Lepisosteus oculatus: one gene and its partners. The protein of the gene in region 3 purifies or fractionates together with the protein of the main gene of each other region. This does not show direct contact. Links are inferred from orthologs where the notes say so. Each region holds a gene or a part of one and is shown on either strand. Other genes may lie near its edges.

The links. Proteins that work in one complex are often made in the same cells at the same time.
Region 1: the proteins of dbn1 (region 3) and gelsolin purify together in Homo sapiens (co-immunoprecipitation; 3 studies listed by BioGRID and IntAct, counting the BioPlex papers as one, with this or other methods). This does not show direct contact. The link is inferred for Lepisosteus oculatus from reciprocal best matches to the Homo sapiens genes DBN1 and GSN.
Region 2: the proteins of dbn1 (region 3) and twf1b purify together in Homo sapiens (affinity purification with mass spectrometry; 3 studies listed by BioGRID and IntAct, with this or other methods). This does not show direct contact. The link is inferred for Lepisosteus oculatus from reciprocal best matches to the Homo sapiens genes DBN1 and TWF1.

The regions. Positions count from the first base shown.
Region 1 is NC_090719.1:14,697,768-14,705,005, forward strand, and holds the start of gelsolin, read left to right. Parts: upstream 1-4,235; 5' UTR 4,236-4,749; intron 4,750-7,238. UniProt on the Homo sapiens protein: Calcium-regulated, actin-modulating protein that binds to the plus (or barbed) ends of actin monomers or filaments, preventing monomer exchange (end-blocking or capping).
Region 2 is NC_090702.1:29,640,623-29,647,935, forward strand, and holds the start of twf1b (twinfilin-1), read left to right. Parts: upstream 1-4,310; 5' UTR 4,311-4,584; coding exon 4,585-4,609; intron 4,610-5,799; coding exon 5,800-5,877; intron 5,878-6,672; coding exon 6,673-6,851; intron 6,852-7,313. UniProt on the Homo sapiens protein: Actin-binding protein involved in motile and morphological processes. Inhibits actin polymerization, likely by sequestering G-actin. By capping the barbed ends of filaments, it also regulates motility.
Region 3 is NC_090706.1:39,983,806-39,990,825, forward strand, and holds the start of dbn1 (drebrin), read left to right. Parts: upstream 1-3,996; 5' UTR 3,997-4,085; intron 4,086-4,098; exon of another isoform or gene 4,099-4,176; 5' UTR 4,177-4,212; coding exon 4,213-4,295; intron 4,296-7,020. UniProt on the Homo sapiens protein: Actin cytoskeleton-organizing protein that plays a role in the formation of cell projections. Required for actin polymerization at immunological synapses (IS) and for the recruitment of the chemokine receptor CXCR4 to IS.

The sequences.
Region 1 (7,238 bases), on a different chromosome or scaffold from region 3:
AGAGACACCGAACAAAAGCCACCGGCCAGCGCCGCCCGCAGCCCCGCAAAACGAGCGAAAACAAGAGGGGGGAAAAACCGACACGAAACGTCGACAGTCACCTTCCCGGCGTGCAGAACCCGCCGCCGTGCAGGAATGGAGCGGACGGGCTTGCCGAGCCGGATAATATTCGCGATCTGGGTGTAGTCACCCCCTCCTCCTTCCTGCCTGCCTTTCTCTCCCCCCCCCGACGACAAGGGAGAGATTCTCATCCAGAGGCGACCGCCCGGCTCCGACAGCCGCCGGCGGGGCGGCCCGGAGGTCCGGCCCGGCCCGCTTACCGTGATTCCGAGGGCGGCTGCGTCGACTCGCTCCGGCGCTGTGAAGGGATCCGCAGGGCGATCCTGGGCTGAGGAGTCTGCCGATCCAAGATGGCGGCCCGCGCTGCACAGGGTTTCCTCCGTCACACACAATGGGCCTGGGGGGACAAAGGGCAGCGGCGCGCGCCCGGCGCCCGCGCGAGGCGCGAGGCGCGAGGCCACGGGCCACGGGCCACCGGCCACGGGCGTCCCGTCCCGTCGGCAGCACTGCGGAAGTATCGCCGTGCACGGTGTGCACTCAGCTTCACGGTGACACCGACACGGCACTGTGCTCCTACAGAGGGGAGAGTCCTGTGTCCCGGACTATTCAAAGTAATAATAATAATATGAATCAGTTTCCCTACGGGATCAATCAACTCTTATCTATCTCTATCTCTCTGATGATACAGCGTTTCCCTACGGGATCAATCCACTCTTATCTATCTCTTATCTCTCTAACGACACAGCTTTATTTTCTATAGCGCCTTTGAGGGCTTTACAGGACGGCGCCAACAACAGGTGTGAAGGCGTGTTGGCGGACTTTTTGGAAATGTAAAAACGTGAAATGAAAACTGTGCGCACCTTACTGGCTCTTGACTCTGTTTTGTCAAACGGACGATGTTATTGATATGTTGTATGTACTCTTGTTTGCGTTGTATTTTCTTTCGACTGTATTTCTACTATTAAACCCTATCTTTATCAAAATAAACGACAGTACAAGGACTGGACTTGTATTATTATTGTGGCTTTCACCTTCAGAGGTTTTTTGTAAGTGATGAACATGTAAATTAAATAAATAACGTGAGTTAGTTACTAGATAATATCACAGGAACTCTATTAAAGAGGTGAGACCTTTGTTGTACATTTCAGTAAAATACATGGCAGTGATAATAATATTTCACCTTGTTGACCAGTTTATAAACACTGACACTGTGGTATCACGTATGAACAACTGATTTTATAGTACGCCTCTCAGTCATAAATCTAGTTTCCAGACATGATGGTAATGTGAGAAAGGGCCTCTTTTTCAGAGGATGTGATTGTTTTTCTGAAGTGACTCAAAAGATTGCAGCGTCTGCTCTGGATCAGGGTCTCGTCCGGGTAAGGATGCAGATCTGGCTCCTGCAGGGTGCCTGGGACGCAGGAGCCAGGAGGAAGTGGTCAGAGACATCACAGCTGATCAGAGCTGGGGGTGTGGACCTCGGCGAGGCAGCCCTGCTAACGGACAACAAGCAGGCTGCACATTTCTGCTCTCCCCCGCGGCTGGCTGGGGAGTTTCCCCGATACAAGCTCCTTCTGCTCCACTGCTGCAGCCTGTCGCACCGCCCTGTGAAGCTCAGCGTTGAGCACTGCAGCCTCACAGCCCTGGGTTCAGTTCCCGGGGTGCTGTCTGTGTGGAGTTTGCATGTTCCTCGCTGGTTTGTGTGGGTCTGCTCCAGTTCCCCCCCCACAGCCCAGAGGCATGCTGGCCTGCAGCCTCAGTCCGAGTTTATCCCCAAGGTCAGTCCAGTTAGCAGGTTTGTGTCTGGCAGCTGGCAGCTCACTGTGGCTCAGCAGGTGTGAGTCTGGCCAGTACCTGGAGGGGAGACTCCTGGGAAACACTAAGGCTGCTGCTGGAAGAGGTGTTAGTGGGGCCAGTGGGGGGCGCTCACCCTGCGGTCTGTGTGGGTCCTAATGCCCCAGTATAGTGACGGGGACACCGTACTGTAAATACTTGCAGTCTGTTTCCCTGAGACCCTCCGTGATCATGTCCTCTGACTGCTTGGCCTCCTGTTCTGTGATAGCTTGGGTCCTCCTGCTCCTAAAAAGGCGAATTATGATGATGATGATAATTATTATCATTATAATAGCAGCTCAATGTGTCCGGGAAGAAAACCGTCGCCCTTCTCCACGGGTAACGTTGCTGGCAAAGCTGCTGTTGACAAGACAGAGACGGTCTCGCGGGAGAAGGTGGGCGGGGCTTGAAAGGGTGGCAGGACCTGATTGGGCGATTCGGTTACACGTCTTCACCTTACGGGGTCATGGAGACGTCACTTCCGGGGTGGAGGGATTACATAGTCGGAGACCCAGGGCTGGGTAGTTCGGAAGACAGCCGCCAGAGGGCGATACATTACAAGCTATAAAACTATTTGGCATCCCCCTTTATCGTTGATATGGAGGCTTCATATTATCCATTCATTTTCCAACGGCTTTGTCCGATACAGGATGCGAGGGATCGGGAGCCTATCCCGGCAGGCAACGTTGGCAAGGGGGATACACCCTTTGCAGGACGTCACATAACCGGACAGAATATTGATCTGCAATACTCCTGTTTTTCTCAGCGAGGTGCATTATTATTATTAATAATAATAATAATGCTTACACTTATATAGCGCTTTTCTGGACACTCCATTCAAAGCGCTTTACAGGTAATGGGGATCCCCTCCACCCCCACCAGTGTGCAGCCCCTCCTGGAAGATGCCAGTTCATAGATGGGGATTATTAGGAGGCCATGACTGGTAAAGGCCAGGGGGATATTTTGGGCCAGGACGCCGGGGTTACGCCCCTACTCTTTTCGAGAAACGCCCTGGGATTTTTAATGACCACAGAGAGTCAGGACCTCGGTTTTGCGTCTCATCCGAAAGACGGATTGAGTTCAGTTCAGTGTTGTGAACTGATTCAGATGTGGTCCCTTTATTCACCGTGAGGCTGGGAGCTGCTGCTGCCTGCAGCCCTCGGGATCCGGGTTCGATTCTGCCCTGGGGCTCCTTCTGTGGGAAGCTTGCATGTGCTTCCCACTGTTGGCTCAGGTTTCCACCAGGTACTCTAGTTTTCTCCTACCTTCCAAAGACCATGAGGTCACCAAAACATATCTGAGGTGTCTAGAGTGCTTCTAACATCTGCAACACATCTGTCCTTTCTATTCTGAAAAAGGAGAGTCACTGATCTGGCCTCACGTGAAATGATGGTCAGTGTTTCACATCCCTGTCAGGCCATTTTGTGTGCTTGGTCCATAATTAAGCCTAAAGACTCATCAGGCCAGAACTTCTCCCATCTTCTGTAGTACGAAAGCAGGCTGCAGGGCAGCGCTCTCCTCTGCTGACAGGGGTCCCATCTTGGGTCATCCATCCATCTGTCTGCCTGCAGCTCCCGGCTGGCAGCCCACTGGAGCCCAGCAGTGTGAGCCTGGTCGGTACCTGGAGGGGAGACTCCTGGGAAAGCTGGGGCTGCTGCTGGAAGAAAGGTTAGTGGGACCAGTATGGGTCTGTGTGAGTCCTAATGCCCCAGTATAGTGATGGGGACACTATACTGTAAAAAGGAGCCGTCTCTCGGATGAGTCATAAGTCATCTTGACTCTCTGTGGTTATTGAAACTCCCGGGGCGTTTCTCGAAAAGAGTAGGGGTGTTACCCCGCTGTCCCGGCCAAATTTCCCCCGGCCTTTACCAGTCATGACCTCCTTATAAACCCCTTTAATCATCCTTTTCTAACTTGTGGACCACCGGCAGGTTTTGAAATAACAGTCATGGTAATTTTGTCTTCATCATCATATACAGTATATCAGCACAACATGGGAGTGCTTCTTATACCGGTCTGGCCTTTTGTTCGCCTAGATTGAATCATTTAATCTTTTTTTTTTGTAAACAGTTATCGCAACAAAATGCCTCTATTTCGCAAAGTGTGCAAGATCTGTTTGAAAAGCCACTGTGGTGTGATGAAAAAAACCCCCAACAACTTCAGAATAAAACTTCGGAAGCTGTGGAAAAAAAAAGATAACTTGAAAGAAGACGCCTCTATGACATTGGAAGACTTCTGCCTTTACTTGTCAGTACTTGATAAGGGTGGATGTAGTGAAAAATCCGGATGTGAGCCTTAATGACTGGATCAGTCGAAGCTAACAGTGCTTAGTTGTTGTTTTTTTTTTTACAGTTGCAGGCACAATGATCTATGTAGAAAAGCATTAAAAACCCCAGGTATTTATCGTGGGATTCAACACGTTCATCAAAATCGCGTACTTGGATTTCAATACAAAGGAGACGCCATCTGTTTTATGAAGCTTTCATGTGTGCGCACTCATCCATACGGGGGGGAGCACACTTCTGGAATCAGGGCAGGCAAGGCTTTTCTGTTGCTATTGTGGGGGGAAAGGGGACCCTGACTCTTGCACTGTACGAGCACCGTGCGTCTGCCTCCCGAGCGAGCCTCTGTCAAGACTGCAGCGACGACCTGCGAGGTTAAGCGAGCTATTTTCGTCCTGCGGCGGTCTGGGAGCCGGCGAGGGGTGGGCACAGGGCTCGGAGCGCACAGCCTCTCAAAAGGGCGTCGCCCCGGCCGGACGCACCAGACGTGCCCAGAGATTTCTAGCCGTGTAGCAAGAAGGCGATTTCTCTCCCAAAGATCCCGACGCTGACCGACAGCCCCACTGCATTTCAGGTAACGATGACGTCTTACGAAGGATTTGCGCGCATAGCACGGCTTTTGTTTCGTAAAAAAAAAAATCTTATTTGCAGCAAGAACCGTGCAATAATAAAAAACAACATGAAGTCCGCGATGGAACAGCAGCCTGATAGTCTTGTTGAGATACGAGTTATTGGTCGTTTTTTCGATACCCGTTTGGGGTTCAAGTCTCTTCCTGCCTTTGTTAAAGTCCAAGGCTAGCTCCACAGATTCAGGTTTTTTTTTTTAATCGGTGGCGAGTTTATTTCCATCAAGAGAAATCAGTACGCCTCGGCAAACGCCTACTTTGATCGGGACTGATGTTTTTATGAATAGCAATTAAGAAGTTTTATCTAATAGAGTTTTAAAGGCGGCGCTTTATGTTTTGTCCGTGGTTTAAAATGCTTCAAGTTTGCATCGTGTGGTATTTTCATAAAGGTATGGAACAATCTGTAGTGCAATTTGTTTCCAGCATCTGTGGTTGATTGATCTCCTCTTATCTAAACAGCTTTTTGAACCCACAGGGGACAAAAACCTGCAGGATCTACTGTTTTGAAAACAGGGCGCAAATATTCCCATATATGGGCCTTAACAAACTCGCATTAAACCGAAAGTAGGGGGGAAAAACCGTACCAGCAGTTGCAATCCGGAATATTCTTCAGGGTAAGAGTTGTTTGCATACGAGATGCGCTTCATTACTGTGTGGAAGTCGTAATATAAAGATCTGACACGCGTGCCGGTTTTGTAACTTCCCGAAAAAAATATAAACTGTAGATTTGAAGTTTATAAAACATTGTAACATTAATATAAACTGTTCATGTTGTAGTTTACCGCTCTAGCCGTTTACCTGTCTGTTGCCTTCAGCCAGATAAAGTGAACGAACCCCAGGTGGGGCAGGTTTGTACCCTTGAGCACGGCTTACGCACGCTGTACTGCGGGCGTTTTGTTCACAGCAAACCTGTTACTGGTTCCTTATCAAAGTCCATACAAAACTAAATTGAGTAGCACGCATTCTGACTTCTTGACCATGTGTTCACGGAACTGTGTTCTAGAAAACCTCGCTATTATGCGATACTTGGGTACTTAAGTGTAGAAAATGCATGATTAGTTCCAGCACCTGGTGGCGGATGAAGTACAGTTCTGGCACTTTCTTCCTGTACTTTGCATGGTTTTTGTCCTGTCCTAAAGCAGTGTATTAGCAGTGTGTATCTTTCTCAGGTCTGGTCATTTACGCCTTCTGAAGCTTTGTAGAATCCCCGAGTTACTAGGCCTGAGCCACCAGCCTAACGCTAAAAAACTTCTCCCTGTTTAAAGAGGCCAAGTGAGAAAAGCTGTGCATGAGTATACATCGATAATCTAAGAATCTAGAGCCAGCGTTGTGTTAATAAGTCAGATGAGTCAGGTTTTTTTTTTTAAATGCTCATAGATGCTATGTTTGAAACATACAACATATTTTCCATAGTGATTCGTTTGGTAACCATGGAAATGCACACACAAGCAAACACAGGCCACTTTTTGGACCGTAGTGTTTTGGCGATGGCAGGAAGTAACGGCATTAGTTACATTGATTTTCCCCCAAGTTAAAATAAGTTAGTGAGCTGTTGCACAGGAAAACACACAGCCTGAGTCATAAACCCTACAGAATGTTATGGCCTGAGTCCTCCAGCAGTTATTTTGGGATTCATACTTGATCACGAAGAATAGAAAAAAAGGAAATGCTTTTTTTTTTTTTTGCAGTTCAGCAGAGGCAGAAATCACATTGAGCGCCCTGTCAAACAGTACCTGAGCGAGGCGTGTGCTCAGAAAACTGATAACACTCTGACATAGCTGCTTCTACTCAGAGCTGTAAACCATTTCCTGGAGCAAGAGCAAACAGTTTTTGACACACCTCCTGCAGAAGTAAATGAGGAGGGAAACAAGCACATATTTCAGGTTCCATAAACTGTGCACATCGACAGTGTAGGCGGCACAAAAAGAACTGGAAAAACCCCATCGATGGGCACTGTGAACTTGGGAAGCTTCCTTATTGTACAGATGACAGGGGGAAACTGGGAGAGAGGTCGTACAAATAACTGTATAGCTAAAGTAGTTCAGGTGGGCAGCAGCAGCAGCATGCGTAGGCTGCAAAGGAACAAGTAAAGGTTTATTCCCGGCTGAAAAGAGAAGAACAACGTTTTGGCTGTTTTCTTCTCGTTTCAGTAGGGAATAAACCTTTACTTGTTCCTTTACTATATAGCTAAAATGTGTTTTTAGTATATGTAAGCTGTATAGTTATAAGAACAGTAAGTACATGTTAGCGATATAGTATTAACTATATATAGTTTCTAGACTCAAAACAGTCTTCTTTAGAAGAGTCTTTACTTCATTGGTTCTATTATTTACCCCTGTGCTCCTGCCACATTCAATACTCCCATCTACTGCCTCCTCTCACTGTGCACAACTTGTGTATTTTTTAATTGTTGTTGTTCTGTAAAGCACTTTGAGAA
Region 2 (7,313 bases), on a different chromosome or scaffold from region 3:
TCAAATAAGAAAAAATATAAAGTGAAACAAAGCACTTTAAGAATGATTCAAGTACAGTTAGTTCAAGTAAAAACGGGTATTAGAAAGAGAGAAAATTCTACTGAAATAGAAGACAGGTAATATGTTTTCAATATGACCACAACAAAACACTAGTTAACCATGAAGTAATGTCTCTCAGGCATAAAAATTGAAAACATTTAGAAAATAAAAGGATGATGGCTTCTGTATTAAATATTTCACTACACTTTTTATCATGGGAGAAATCAACTGCATGCTTCAGGGTGAGGAAAGGTGGAGCTTTAGATTATATACTTTTAGCACAGAAAATACATGAGAGTTACAGGTACCAGAAGCACTTACTGTAAGATGAACACAGTTTTAGGGATGTTGTTCATAGGTCATTAGTAAAACTATTCCAACTGTGACAAAACTAACCCAAGTAATTGTAGACCAATAACCCTTACTTCCAATGTAAAATGGCAGTTGTATGGTAATAGACATCTGAGTCTGAACTACTGCTCTTCCTAATTTATATCATTAATCTAGACTCTGAAATAGCAATAGTAGTACAGTATAGTTAAAAGCATAGATTTTTAAGCAAAGGGTAATATGTTACACTTGTATGACTTCATTTAGAATATTTTTACAATTCTGATACAAAAACGATTGTTGTCCTTGAATTTCATTGTAGAGGAGCAACAAAATACATTCCCGGCCTAAAAGGAATATCCAACTTTGACAGTTTAAATGAACATAAAATTAAATTAACAAACCTAAACAACTGGATTCATACCAAATTACTATAAAAGGATGTGTAGCTCTCACTTAATCCCAGTTCTTTTCTTAACAATCTTAACTCATTTGTGCATTACCCTTGTCTATCTGTGAATATGAAGTTAATCCATAATGAACACAGTATCTTAGATTCTTAACACATATCTCTTGATAGTTAAATATGTCAAGAAACAATATTTTTAACATACCAAATATTGCACACATAGTTTAACTAATTGCACGATTGGTTAAATAAATGATATATCAATAATGTAACAATAACTATTACTATTATTATTTTATGTATAGTAAGAGGGGTAAATAACAGTTTCTCTAAATCCCTCACATTATTTTTCTGTCCTTGGTCCACCTTAAGAAATGCTCTTTAGCTCAAGTGGCCAATAAAAATAGACAAACAGCTGACTAGCATTACAGGAAATGCATTTTCATTTTTTCAATCCAGCATACAACAGAAGTTTCTCGTTTCTAACAATTTCTGGGTCTTAAGGAAATTAAAAATATATTGTCAAGTGTTTAAAAGATTATTCCACATTAACACATGCAAAATGTAATAGCACTAATTTGTCACTTCTCTGTGTCCTAGGAATGAAGTCAGTCTTCCCTGCTCCTGACAGTGCTTTGTTTTATTATATTACCAAGGCAACAGCTGCTGGAATTGTCAAATTTTAAGGCTGAAGTCTATTTGATAACTGTCTGGCTGCAGGCTGGAGAAAGATTGTTCAGTGAATAACATATTTACATACTGAATACACCAACTTACCACACCACTTCTTCCTTCTTCAGGCTGTGCTCCGGGGACAAGAAGCCAGATCCCACTCGGCTTTTGGCAGCATCATCATGCTCACTGAGCTGACAACATTAGAATTATTCTACTAGCAAGAGGAAATCATGTCTTGCAGTGTCACTAGACTGGCCATGTGACCTGTCTCTTTCTATGGCAGTCACACTCCCAAATCCATTAGCTTTGTAGTTGTTTTACAAGCAGCAGTGAGAAGGCAGAAAAGGCACTGCTTCGTCAGCATGGCTGGGTGTTCAGCTGTTCTGTGTCAGGGAAATGCAGAGCTGAAAAATGCACTCCCCACAGCACATACTATCAGCATCCAGTAGTGCAACAAACATGCTGGGTCATCCTGATGAAAATAATGTTTCTTCCAAGTGTATCTATGAAGGTAAGACAAAAGACAGATAGGGACCATTTTGAACATGGAGATGCAGCTCCATTACTTAGTTTTATTCATTTGAATCCTTAAATACTTATAAGTACCACCACAGACTTTTGCTTCTCTTGTGATATGTTTTCTTCTTTTTCTTTATAATATTTTGAATAAGATAGAATATTTTTTAAACTGGTTGAAAACAATAAGCATCAAACTATGAATTGCAATATTTGATATTTTAAAGCTATAGTTTGTTGATACTTCCTGATTTATTTTGCACACAATTTGTCTAAAGTTGAAAATCAAGCAGTGAAATACGTGTCATGAATAATTGTCAGAACGCGGATATGAAAGTAGTCTTGAAACTCAAATATGTACAGTATACAGTATAAAGAAATCCTCCTTTAAAAAACTCTAGAATGAAAGAGTATTTTTCTGTTTGTATTTTATTGACATTTTTAGGAACCTAATTAAATCAGTCAATATACTGTACTGTATACAAAATTAAGAAAGAAACTTACTTTAAACATAAAAACATTGAAGTTTTTATGTACAGTAAAGACACTTTGGAATTCTTCAAGTGCAAACTGCTTATCTCATACTAAACAAATTGCTCAGAAGTAGAATCAAGCTCTTAAGATTTTAAATAGTTCAAAATAATCAGTAACCTTTTCAGAAATATTATATTTCAGTATTAATATCATTCATGTTCAAACAGAATGTCAGCAATACTGTGATCTACCAAAAGGTATTTTTTAAATATGCTTCTAGATGAGGAATACTGTATCTATAAATAAATCTCTGTAATAGCCTAAAAACATTTTGAACTACCATAGATTATGGACCAAATTTAATTAATCTTTTCTTCTGAAAAGTGGTTAGCCAGATAATTCACTCAGCGGAAGATATTATTGGAATCTTATAATCAAATACACAGTAAAAGATAAATATATCTGCAGCACCCTGCAAACCTCAAGGGATTATTGCTGTTGTCCTTTCAAAACCTACTTAAGCAATCCTTTTTCCTGTTGACAGTATTTAAAAATTATATTTATAATGTGTTGGTGATTGTTCATGGAGTGAAGTTTAACATATATTTTCTGGAATATAGCATTGAAAGAAAAAAAACTTCTGCATATGATCTCATAAACACCAGCTAAATGAGTAAAAGTTAAAAAGTTAAAACACTTGAAATTGTATTTCTGAATGGAATTTGCATTTCACCTCACAGATACATTTCTGTGTCAGTATGCACTGTATGTGTATATATACTGTAGCTGGCTTTGCAAAGCAATACTGTTCCTACTATGAATCATGTTTTGGCACATTCTCCAACAACGTTATTCACGACATTATATATTTAGTGTTATAACTTATGAGCATTGCTTGACAGAATTGTACCTATTTCAAAATAATATTTCTTCCACGTTTACTAATTTCACTACAACAAGAGGTCGATTAGATTTCTACTGAATTACAACAATTTAATCCACAGTGTATGAATTGTTATTTCTTTATAAATAAATTTAGGAATGTAGTAACGCTGGATGTACAACTGTGTCCATCATATTTTAACTTGTTTTACTGTTTTATTAGTTTTCCCATTGATTTGATAATGCATCACACTTTGCAAGTAACGACACGTTTCTGCAAGTACCCTACAGCCGACGATGACACAGCGAGAACAAACTGCCTATACCTTATAACAAGATTGGTGCCAGCTTAAAAAATGTGCTAGTTTTACCATCCCCTGGTCATTGATATCCCATAATGCAGTACAATATCTCTAGGTACAGATACGTAGTGACAAGAGCATGCGCAATTCTTGTTAAGAATAAGAGCCTCTAGCGGTTGTTAGAAAATGTTTTACTGGCCTTGTATAACAGGTGCTTAGTGCAGCTTTTATCTCACACTAATTTGTGAAAATAGATGGAATTTGAGGTATTCGGTACTTACTCTAACATTTTTTTTTCCTGGAAGTTATCATGTTGAATATTTGAACTGAGGCAATACAATATTTAACTTATAAAGTTAGTTGCATCAATATGAATGGATCAAATTAAATTTACAGCAAATTGGAATGATCCGCAAAAAACTAGACTTCCGTGTATAATGCATTTTTACACAAAAAATCAAGGAGTTAAAGACTAATGGCTTTATGTTCTTGCATTTCTTCAGGCGGTGTTGTTTTCCCTTCAGACGTGTGTCCATATGTTAATTCGACGTGACTTTTCAATACGAGATAATTCCGAAATCCAATCATTTGAAATTTTACATAAACCTTTAATTTTGAGTGAAATTTTACATTTTTATTGCATGCTGTGCATACTTATGGAAACATTCACATTGCGTAGTGTTTGCTTTAATAGATATGTGATACGGAATTACAGGTTTTATGGAAGGTTCGAACAGCTAACATATCCAGACATTAACAAGCTCATGCATGCCCTAGCTAGACGAACAGCTCTGAACTTCCACCTCTTCTGAGCCCAGTGTTGGCCACGTGACTTTGGAGTCTCTGCTGCTGCCGGTGACGTCAAGTCGAAGCCGGTGTAGAATTGCTGTGTAGTTCAGTTTCTTCTTCCTTGTTCTTTCGCTTCTAATCAGCCGGTCGACTTCAGAGAAACAAATAATGTCCCATCAAACTGGCATTCAAGGTAAATTATTTTAAATCTGTGTCTAATCTCTTATCTTGTTAAAAAAACATAATCGTGGTTAAAAAGAGGAAGAAGTTCAGTTACGATGTAATCAATACCGCTTTAGATTAAATGGAAGTTCTTGTTGGATAGCCTGTTGTATCTCTTTGCAAAGGAGAATAATATAACTAATTGTATTATTTTGTCTGTTGAGTTAGAATGAAAAAAAACGTACGTGAAATGAAACATGCTTGGTGATCTGCTATACGTGTGTTGTGGTTGCTCCATTAGTACTGCCTAGAACAAAGGTCTTGTGCAAATGAAGTATCCACAGCACCTTCAGTAGAAAGCAGCTATGGTGAGACAACGCCTACAGAGGAATTTAGAAGGATATGACTGGGTCCTGGCCTTGCCAACAAACCGATGAGACAGACAGACTTACTTTTTCCCCCCACAAGTGTATCAGTTCCTCCCTTAAAAACCAAAACGTTTATGATTTTTATAGTGGGTCAGGAAATAAGTATGGAAAGGGGATTCTATACAGATCTCTTACTGTCGTGTCAATACAATAAAAGAAAATCACTTGTTTTATTTAGAAAACTAGGGTATTTGACTGTTGACTACATTATTTACCAGAAACAAAATCAATTAAATACTCTAATGCTAATGCATTTGTGTGCTTAATCAGGATGTTTGTGTAAAGCACATTCATAATTCTTATAAGGACAGATGCATGAAATGTTAATGAAAATTCATTGGCTTAAGTTTTTTTTGAGCACTTTGGATGCGCTCTTATGCCTTTATTATAAGTACTGGTAGACATACATCTCTTGCAACACACTGTTCCTGTCTCTTTACAGACAGTTCTCATGAGACTGTAGTTTTGTCTTCTGCCCTTGATTTTCCTCTTGTAAGATTGTTGTTCCAAAAATAAAGTTTATTTTGTTTCTTCATAAATTAAAATTAGTTTTGAGCTTAATTTGAAAATCCTTTAATTAAATTCAGTACTAAAACCTGATTGAGGGGCAAGGGAGCTGTCCACTCTTTCATTTGCCAGTATTGTTGAATTGTGACATCAGCAGTTCATTTTATTCTGCAATGTTTAAGTGTCATGCATTTATGTACATAAAAACAATGTGTACTTAACGTGTATAGTATGCTTCAATTAGTAGCTAGACGTGTAGTTTAATAATGTTAAAATTTTGTTTCAGCTGCTGAAGAAGTGAAAGACATTTTTGCAAATGCCAGAAATGGGAACTATCGGCTCCTCAAGATTGTGATCGAGAATGGTCAGTTCTAACTCTATGTAAAGTATGGAATTATAATTTACTTGTGATTTCTGTTATGATATGTAATACAAATGCCAGCCTTTTCCCTTTTAGGACAACTGCATCAGTGATAATGTAAAAAAATATTATTCAGAAGAAAAAGTTAAAACCAAGACAACCAGTAAGTTAAAATTAATAAAACACGAAATCCCCAGTTACGATAGCACAAAGTCAAGAACTAAAAAAGGCTTTTATGTCATAACTGAATCAAATGAAAACATGTTTCTTCACTGAATGTTTTTATGGTTTCTCATTACCTGGCATATTCATACATTTGATAGCGTCAAATTAGAAGTGAAAGATAAAATGCTTAGCCGTGTACAAGTAACTAGTTTTCTTTCAGCATGTTATATTGTTGCATCTATTAGTATGTAAAAGTGTATTAAATATGTAGAAAAAAAACACCCATATCCAGATCAGTGAATGTGGATAATAATGGGACTTGAAATTAGGTTTGATCAAGAAAATTTTAGACACTTTGTGACTTTTTTAACTGCACTTCCCTATTTTGCAGTGCTAAAAACCTGCTTTCTTCATTAAAAAAGTTTCCAAAATGTATGGCAAAAAATAGGATACACATGTGTAAATACAGTACACAAAATTGAATTATTTTTAATAAATACAATCCAATATGTATTTCTTTTTATTTAAAAAAATATGTGAAATAACAGGATATAGACCCATATAATCAAAGGCATCAGTGTAGTTATATTCTTAATAATTAAGACTCATGCATGTTCAATCTTTTTATTTCAGAAGAGCTGGTAGTCGGCAGCACCAAACAAGCTGTGAAGACCTGGGACAAAGAATATGATTTGTATGTTCTTCCTTTATTAGAGGATGACCAGCCATCATATATCCTCTACAGGTTGGACTCACAAAATGCTCAGGGATTTGAGTGGATTTTTCTAGCCTGGTCACCAGATCATTCACCTGTAAGCTATCCAATATACGGTAACGATATCCCAAAAAATGAAAGAATTGTTATTTTTTCATTGTACGTTACAGACTCGAACCTGTGTTTAAGGATTTAATGTTGCTTTGCAAGAACTGAATATGGTACCAGAAAACTGCAGCTTTGTTCTACTGATGTTTCACAGTATTCACAAGTATTAGAAGACCCAGTACAGTCCACTTTTCCTGGCTAAGGCCATGGCTACTGATTATTAAAAATGAAATATAGATTCAGTACAGAATTAACAAAGTGTCTTATCTGTATAATGGGGTTGTGCTTGTCGCAGCTGCATGTGTGCACCTATGACTCCTGCTGGCCATACTCAACACTGTGTCTCTACTGAACTGTCGTGTGACCCTTTTGATTGTCTCCTGTCCACAAGAATGCTCAGTATTTAAAATCTTATTTTGCAATGGAAGCAAACACTCACTCAGTTCTTCAA
Region 3 (7,020 bases):
CTTTGATGGGACATTCCATGGGTTATTGTTTAGCCAGCCTGCATGAGCTTTAACTGTGCTAAAAACAAAAACAATTTTTAGTCGGTTGCTTAGTTCATGAATTGGCTTTACTCTTCTGTCATTTGGATCTACAAATCTGACTGCCTCGTCTTCCCAGCACACATTAGCCATCTGCTTTGCAGCTTGGTACTGACTTGCGCTGAGATCCCCAAGTTATAATCAAAGCTAACATTATGAAAACACCGCTGGTTGTAATTTTCCATGAGAGCATACAGTCGCTACCAGAGTAAACAACCCCTCCCGCTTCGCCGGCTGGGTCACTGTTCTGTTGTGGATCCAGCAGACTTCCCTACCGTTTCTTGAAGGAGCCCAGGGAATGGACTTCAGCAACTGCATCTGCATGCAACTGGAAGTGCTTTTAAAACTGAGGACAAAGGGTAGTGGAGGGGTGGAACAGGATACCCAGCCATTTTGTCAAAGCCAATAACCCTGGCTCCTTCCAAGACACACCTGGTGGAGATCCTCACGTCAATTAACCTTAAAACGGCCCAGATGGGCTGAATGACCTCCTCTCGCTTGCACTCTTTCTTGTTTTCTGATGAACAGCTGTTCTAATAAGCATGAACCTCATGGATACTGTTATAGTTAGAGGAGCTCTGGATATTAGCATTACTTAAAAATGAATCAGTTCTGATCACTCCCACCATTTTGTTTCCTACACCTTCCACGATTCCCCGGAAGCACGGCTCCGTCGGCTCGCGTCAGGTCTGTGAGCAGGTGCAAATGCACGGCCCCTAGCTGGCAGCTTCGGTCAGTCTCGGGCTGAGAAGGGCAGCCCTTCTAATCACTCTGATGGAGGGCGGCAGCCCAGTGCTGCTGCACCGGGGGACGGAGGAGCTTGAAATCCGATGCTGGTCTGACATGGTGCGAGAGGAGGAGGGGGGGGCTCTGGGTTCCCAGCCCAGATTGCGCTGGGCAGATGTCTCCCCGAGAGTAATCAACATCACAATTGAAATAATTGGTACCTCCACCATCCGCCTGTCTGGGGGCTCAGGGATTGGCTGAGCACTGAGCACTAATTATTGTTAACCCACTTACAGAGAGAAGAGGCTGCAGGATGTGGGGTGCCCCATTAGGCAGTGGGGAGAGCCGGTGGGGGGAGGGGGTTCTTGTCTGTGTGTGTCAGAGTCAGGGAGAACACGTAACTGCCTGTTTACTACCTGATCTCTGTATAGGTTATATATACGTACATGTGTAAAAAAACGCAGCTGCGGAGGCTGTCTGTGTGTCTCATGGAGAGCAGGCTGGGGTATGCAAAAAGACAAATTCCTAATACAAGAAATTGTATATGGCCAATAAAGTGATCTTATCTCTTATCTTACAAAGTTAACAAAAACAGATGTGAAAATAGCAATTTTGTCATTTTTTCTAAAGCTCTTGATGAAGCGTAGGACACACGTTTCGCTCAGAGGTGGCACTCTTGCTCAGTCTGACACATTAAAACGTTTTCAATCATTTTCACCAAGTGAGGCTCTTTCTCTGCATAGTGTGAAGTGAAACAATGTGAAAACAGTGGAACAAATGAAAAATAAAAAAATGTACGCTACACACTCTGGCACATTGAAGTACGGTTGACAGGCGGTGTCCTACAGTGGTCATGACTGGTGGATGGTGATTACTTAACGTTTTAATGGCCTGGTTATTAGGCATGGCCCCATGGCAGAGAGTCTCCACGAGCTAAAGGTCTGAATTTCAGTTTAAATTTCACTAGGACTCATCTAAGTGTGCAGTACTCTTACAGAATCACCATAGACTATAAAACAAGTAACTAGCCCTGCTCCTGAAGACCCATAATGTGTTCTGGTGTTTAGTGCCAGTTAAGCTTTGAATATTAGTGGTTACTTGCTTCATTGAATGGTATAATGGAGTATGCTGGTCTCTTTTGAAGGACTGTTCAGGTTTAACTTAGGAGACCTTCCAAACTCTCTCTTCAGGAGTAGGGCTGTGGATGTAGGTTCTGCATGGTTACTGTGTTTCCAGAGGTTTTAACTTAAATAGCCACAGCTTTCATGTTACTTTCAATGAAGACTCGTTGAAAAGAGTGCAAGAGTGCACAACTGATCACTTCATATCAAGAGACAGAAGGGAGATTGGGTTAAGTTAAACATTTATGAGCTCACCGCCTTGGAAGGTAAATAAAGGGTTCAAAGACTCCTACAAAGCAATGATTTAAGGCCATCATAACAAGATCATCCCTACTAAAACACTTGGTTCACGGTAAAATATAAACATCCTCACCGATGATGTAATGTTCTTGGATGATTAGCACTAACAAAACTAGGTTTGTTTTTCTTTGTCAGCGAAGGTTACTTTTGCTGCAACAGCTCCTTGAATTCAGTCAGTTTCAGGGTTTTCTGGTGGAAATTGGAGCTCTTCATCATTGGGTCTCAACTTGAAACATGAAAGGAAACCAAATTCTTCAGGACCTAAGGATCAGAGAGCTGCAGTCCTGCAGGCTGTGTAGCCAATCTTAAATAGTCAATGAGCAAAAACCTGAAAAGTATTTGAACTCCTTTGCTTGAAGAAGGAATTAGGCATTTCAGAGCCCAGCTGGAAAGAAAGCCAATAGACACAGTGGCTCTCCAGCAGCAGAGATGAATATTCTCAGTATTGGAACATCGTGTAAATGTAGAACGTAAGAAGACAGAAGCTGAATGTGATATCCACAAGCATGCCTACATGTTGTAATCAGAGATTATCTTTAACATCGTGTATAAAGGGGACATACACGGTTCACATACTAAACATCAAAACAAACTGCATAACTCAAATTCACAAGGTTATCAGTGTAAGGACAATCATTTTGTATCAGGCCACCTCACTTGTTATTGATGGATGTGATGGACCGTAGGTAAACTCCTTATGCTGATTAAAATATGTGATCCACAGGGTTGATGGGAGCTCTTCACAGGCCAATGGCACGTGTGGGGAATGCTGGAAGCTGTACAAAAACTGCACAAGCATGATTTAGCGTACACCGGGTTGCAGATGATGCTTGGTGAAACTCTCTCTACCAGCATGATTCCTCTCGATGTTCCTGGACAAACCTGTGCACTGGTCTCTGATCCCTAAATGCTAAACATATTCCCAACACACCCACCCCACACACAGACGCGCATCAGGCTTTACATGTGGTGAACAGAGCCTCCCTGGCACAGCTGCCCCACCTTCACCTGGCAAGAAGGCCCTCGTGTGTTGTGTGTTGTCGAGCCTTCAGGAAGGTCCCAGTGTAGCTCCGTGCAGTCGGGCTGCCTTCAGTCTCTACAGGAGCTGTTCTGCAGACGCTGGACACTCCTGCCCAGAACATCACACCTAGACCTCCCTGTTGACCGGGCTATGAACACCACAGTTAGAGTATCATTCTGCACCCCTGCGCCACACTCGCGGACGTCCTTCAGGGACGTTCAACGCAAGGCCTTGATTCGTCTCTCAAGGGGACTCCAGCGAAGCTGTCCACTTGAGGTGTGGCTCCAACAAACCGAGGACACAAAAGCCTCTTTCTCTGGAGGAGTGGAGTATATCGGTTCCTTTCTGTGTATCCCTTTCTTCATTTTCACCGGGCTGGACAGGAACAAACTCTCCGCCGGTTCCGAGTCAACCTTCTCTCCCGCCAGGAGATTCCATACGTAAGCAGCTATGTCACTGGAGTGTGTCAGGATCCGTCGCAAAAATGGCTGAATAATCAATGACGGTATCCCCATTGTTCAATCACCGGTCTGTCAAAAAACATTGAATCAGCGACCAAAATCTGAATGTATTTTTTAAAGGCCAGCCTTCACCAGTAGAGCGATAGGCTTCTTTTGAACCCGAAGAAGGCTCCACAGCCGAAACGTTGTGTTTCCTTCCTTCTCTTTCCAGCAGGGAATAAACCTTTGCTGGCTTCTCTTGATTGTCAGTATACCCTGTCAAGAATGACATCATCAGCGCAGTCCATATATGGCCGGGCTGGGCCGGCGCTAGGACCCGGCGTTGTAACCTGCGCCTCCCCGCGGTGGTGGTAGCACTAGGACCGAGCAGAACATTAGGTTAGTGCAGAGAAGGACCGTCTCTTTGTTCCAATCTCGAGATCTGTCTCCCCGCAGCCTCACTCTCTCCTCTCCTTTTATTCCATTACAGTATTACACAGGTCTGGATGACTGCGAGGACAGCAAAATGGCTGTGAATCTCAGCAAGAATCGACTGGCCCTGTTAACAGCCTACCAGGATGTTATCAGCGAGACTTCGTCCACCGACTGGTAAGGCAAACGTACATAGGTATCCCCACCCGCTGGTGTGGTGCTGGGGTTTTATTATAAGGCGTAGGCTTGTGCAATATCACTGCCGAACAATGTGGGTACTGATGTCCACGGCCGGGGAATGATGCCTCATCATACTACTGTACGGTTTGCGCTGAAACGCCTCGGATAGATGCAGCAGCAGCCTTTCTGTGGATAAACTCTGGGCAGGCGATAAATGCTTTTGGCACTTGGGGTGCAGCCGTGCAAAATCAGTTACTTTGCATGTTTAATGACCGCAGTTTATGGAAATGTAAGCTGATATCACCTTACGTGATACGGCATGTTGATTTCGTGACAAACACCCCCCCCAACCTTATTGTACCCCCCAAAAGAGAAAAGGTCAGACTTTAACACCAGGGTTTTTTTAGAAAAAGGAAAAAAAAACACTTGATTAGCTTTGGGATTTGATAATGCTTTGCGTTCAACAGACAATTGATTCGTTAGCCATATTTTAGTATTTTTTATTGCACATAATTTTGCCTTTCTTGTTCTCTTTTTTTGGGGGGGCCAATTTACCCCCTCGTGAGTCCGTCACGCATTACGCATTGTCAGAAATCCGAGTAGCCGCTAATGTTTTGCAAGATGTACTATTGTTTGCTCTGTCACAGGCTGCTCTGCCTCGGATGACCGCTAGTTCAGGCTAATTTGTAGTTCCGAAGCTTTTTCCGTTGGTCTTTTTTTTTTTTGTCGTACTGGGCACGGCTGAGGAGGGGTCCACCTCGCTCCTGTCGCTCGGCTGTGCTCCCTGACAGCACCTCCGCGAGTGGTGGAGTGGGCGAGGCGAGAAGGGACCGGCTTTCGGCGCAACAGTCAGCCCCAAGCCCACTGGCTCGGCACACGAGTGTGTGGCGTGCCCTTGCATCCCGTCGGATCCGACGCCAACGGCGTAGTAACTTTCTGCGGCGTTTCAGCTCGGCGGTGGCGATGTTCCTCAGCCCGCAGCCCGTGAGCACCTGGGGTGTGATGGGCAGTTGTTCATGCCTCGTTAGAGGACGCAGTGTTTTAGCTGCGTTTCAGCGGATTGATGAGATGTTTCCTTGGCTGAAGACAGGAGTCAATCGCTGATATAATTATTCATCGGAGCGCAGCTGTGCCGGGGAGAGGGGACAGCAGGGTCTATAGATTTTTTTTTTGGGGGGGAGGGTAGGACTTTCCTTTTGAAAATAACCTAAAGGTTTAAACAGGATGTCCATAGAACCCATTTATATAGAGAACCAGGACTTTTCTATAGGATCTGTAGGTTGCTTTATGAAGGGTGCACAGTGAGTGTGGCGGTATAAAGACATGGAGATGTAATCCCAAAGGCTTGTAACAGGACTGCAGTATTTTGCTAAGGAGGACTGCTGGGAGGAAAGCTTAGGTGTCTACTTGTACTTCTACGAGAACGCAGCAGTTTCACTAGACTGTGGTAACTGTTGCAGGAGTGGCCCTGGTACTGTATTCACCTCTTGCAAGGAGACAAAGACAAAGACTCCTCCCTTTGAATAAGAGCTGAATCAATTTTTAGAATTGATGAGTTGCCTGGACATGAACAAAGTATATGCAGCAATGGGAAAATGAAGAAAACGTGTGACTATCTGAGCTGAACGTACCTACCTGCCTGTGCATAAGTTTATCAAGTCATCTAAAAACGTGAACTGGATCTGGCCGCTTGCATTGGGAGTCTTGTTTTCCCGTTGTAACGTTCATCTGTAGAGGAAACCCGGTTCTTTGCAGGTTGTTGTTTGTTTGTCTTTAATGGGATCAATCTTTTAGACAACTAGATAGGTGGTGGTTTTTGTCAGGTCATCTATAGGTCATTTCTGTACGATAAGAGTTTCTCCTGTGTGTATGTCGGAACACTTTACTCCAGTGCTCACATCCCTGTAGTGGCTGCCTGTTGACCTTTTACATTTGCTTTAAAGAAGCTGATGTCACTTTCCTGAAAGAAGACGTCACTTAAAAGAAGTGATATCTATATCCTTCATGGGTTAGGGTAAGGGGCTTATGTTTGTCCAGGAAATACTCCACACACTCCAAATCATTTGCAAAGGTCTAAGATCAGTGAGTGGATCACTGAGCATTGTCTTCAGCTGGTTGGGTTCTGCAGATTTCTGTGGCTCCAGATAAATTAATTCCATTTCACATTAGGACTGTCTCAAGTGAATATTATTTTAGGTTAAAGCAGTCATGCATAGCTGGACTGGGGCTGTCCTGCAAGCGTTTGTGTCTTGTTTTGAATGCGGCGCTGCTTTGTGATGTGCCTTGGAATGACAGTCGCTCCGTCCTCATGAATCTCGTTTTCACAGAATTGCTTTCATGCTGCTGGAAATGGAAAATTTGACATTTGTCCTCCAATGTGATCCGAAAGAATAAAAAGGAGTGGTGTGAAAATGGGGTACCTAATATGGACTCCAAGGTCTTCTTCAGGAATAAATGAAACGTCCTGTTTGTTCCTACAGTTTGCAGACACAGCTGGGGGGTCGTAGTCCCAGGTGTCACTGTAAAGTGACCAAGAGCATTGTAACCAATATCCAAAATAAAACAGTGTTGCTTATGCTTAATTCTCAATTAGTGTTGGTCAAACCTAACTCTGAAGGGTTTTTCTGTTTATCAGTATTGTAATTCTGTTTTTAAACTGAAACGCATCTGCAGAACTTCCAAGTAAGTAAATCTGGAATTTCCTTACAGCTCTGGGGTCTTG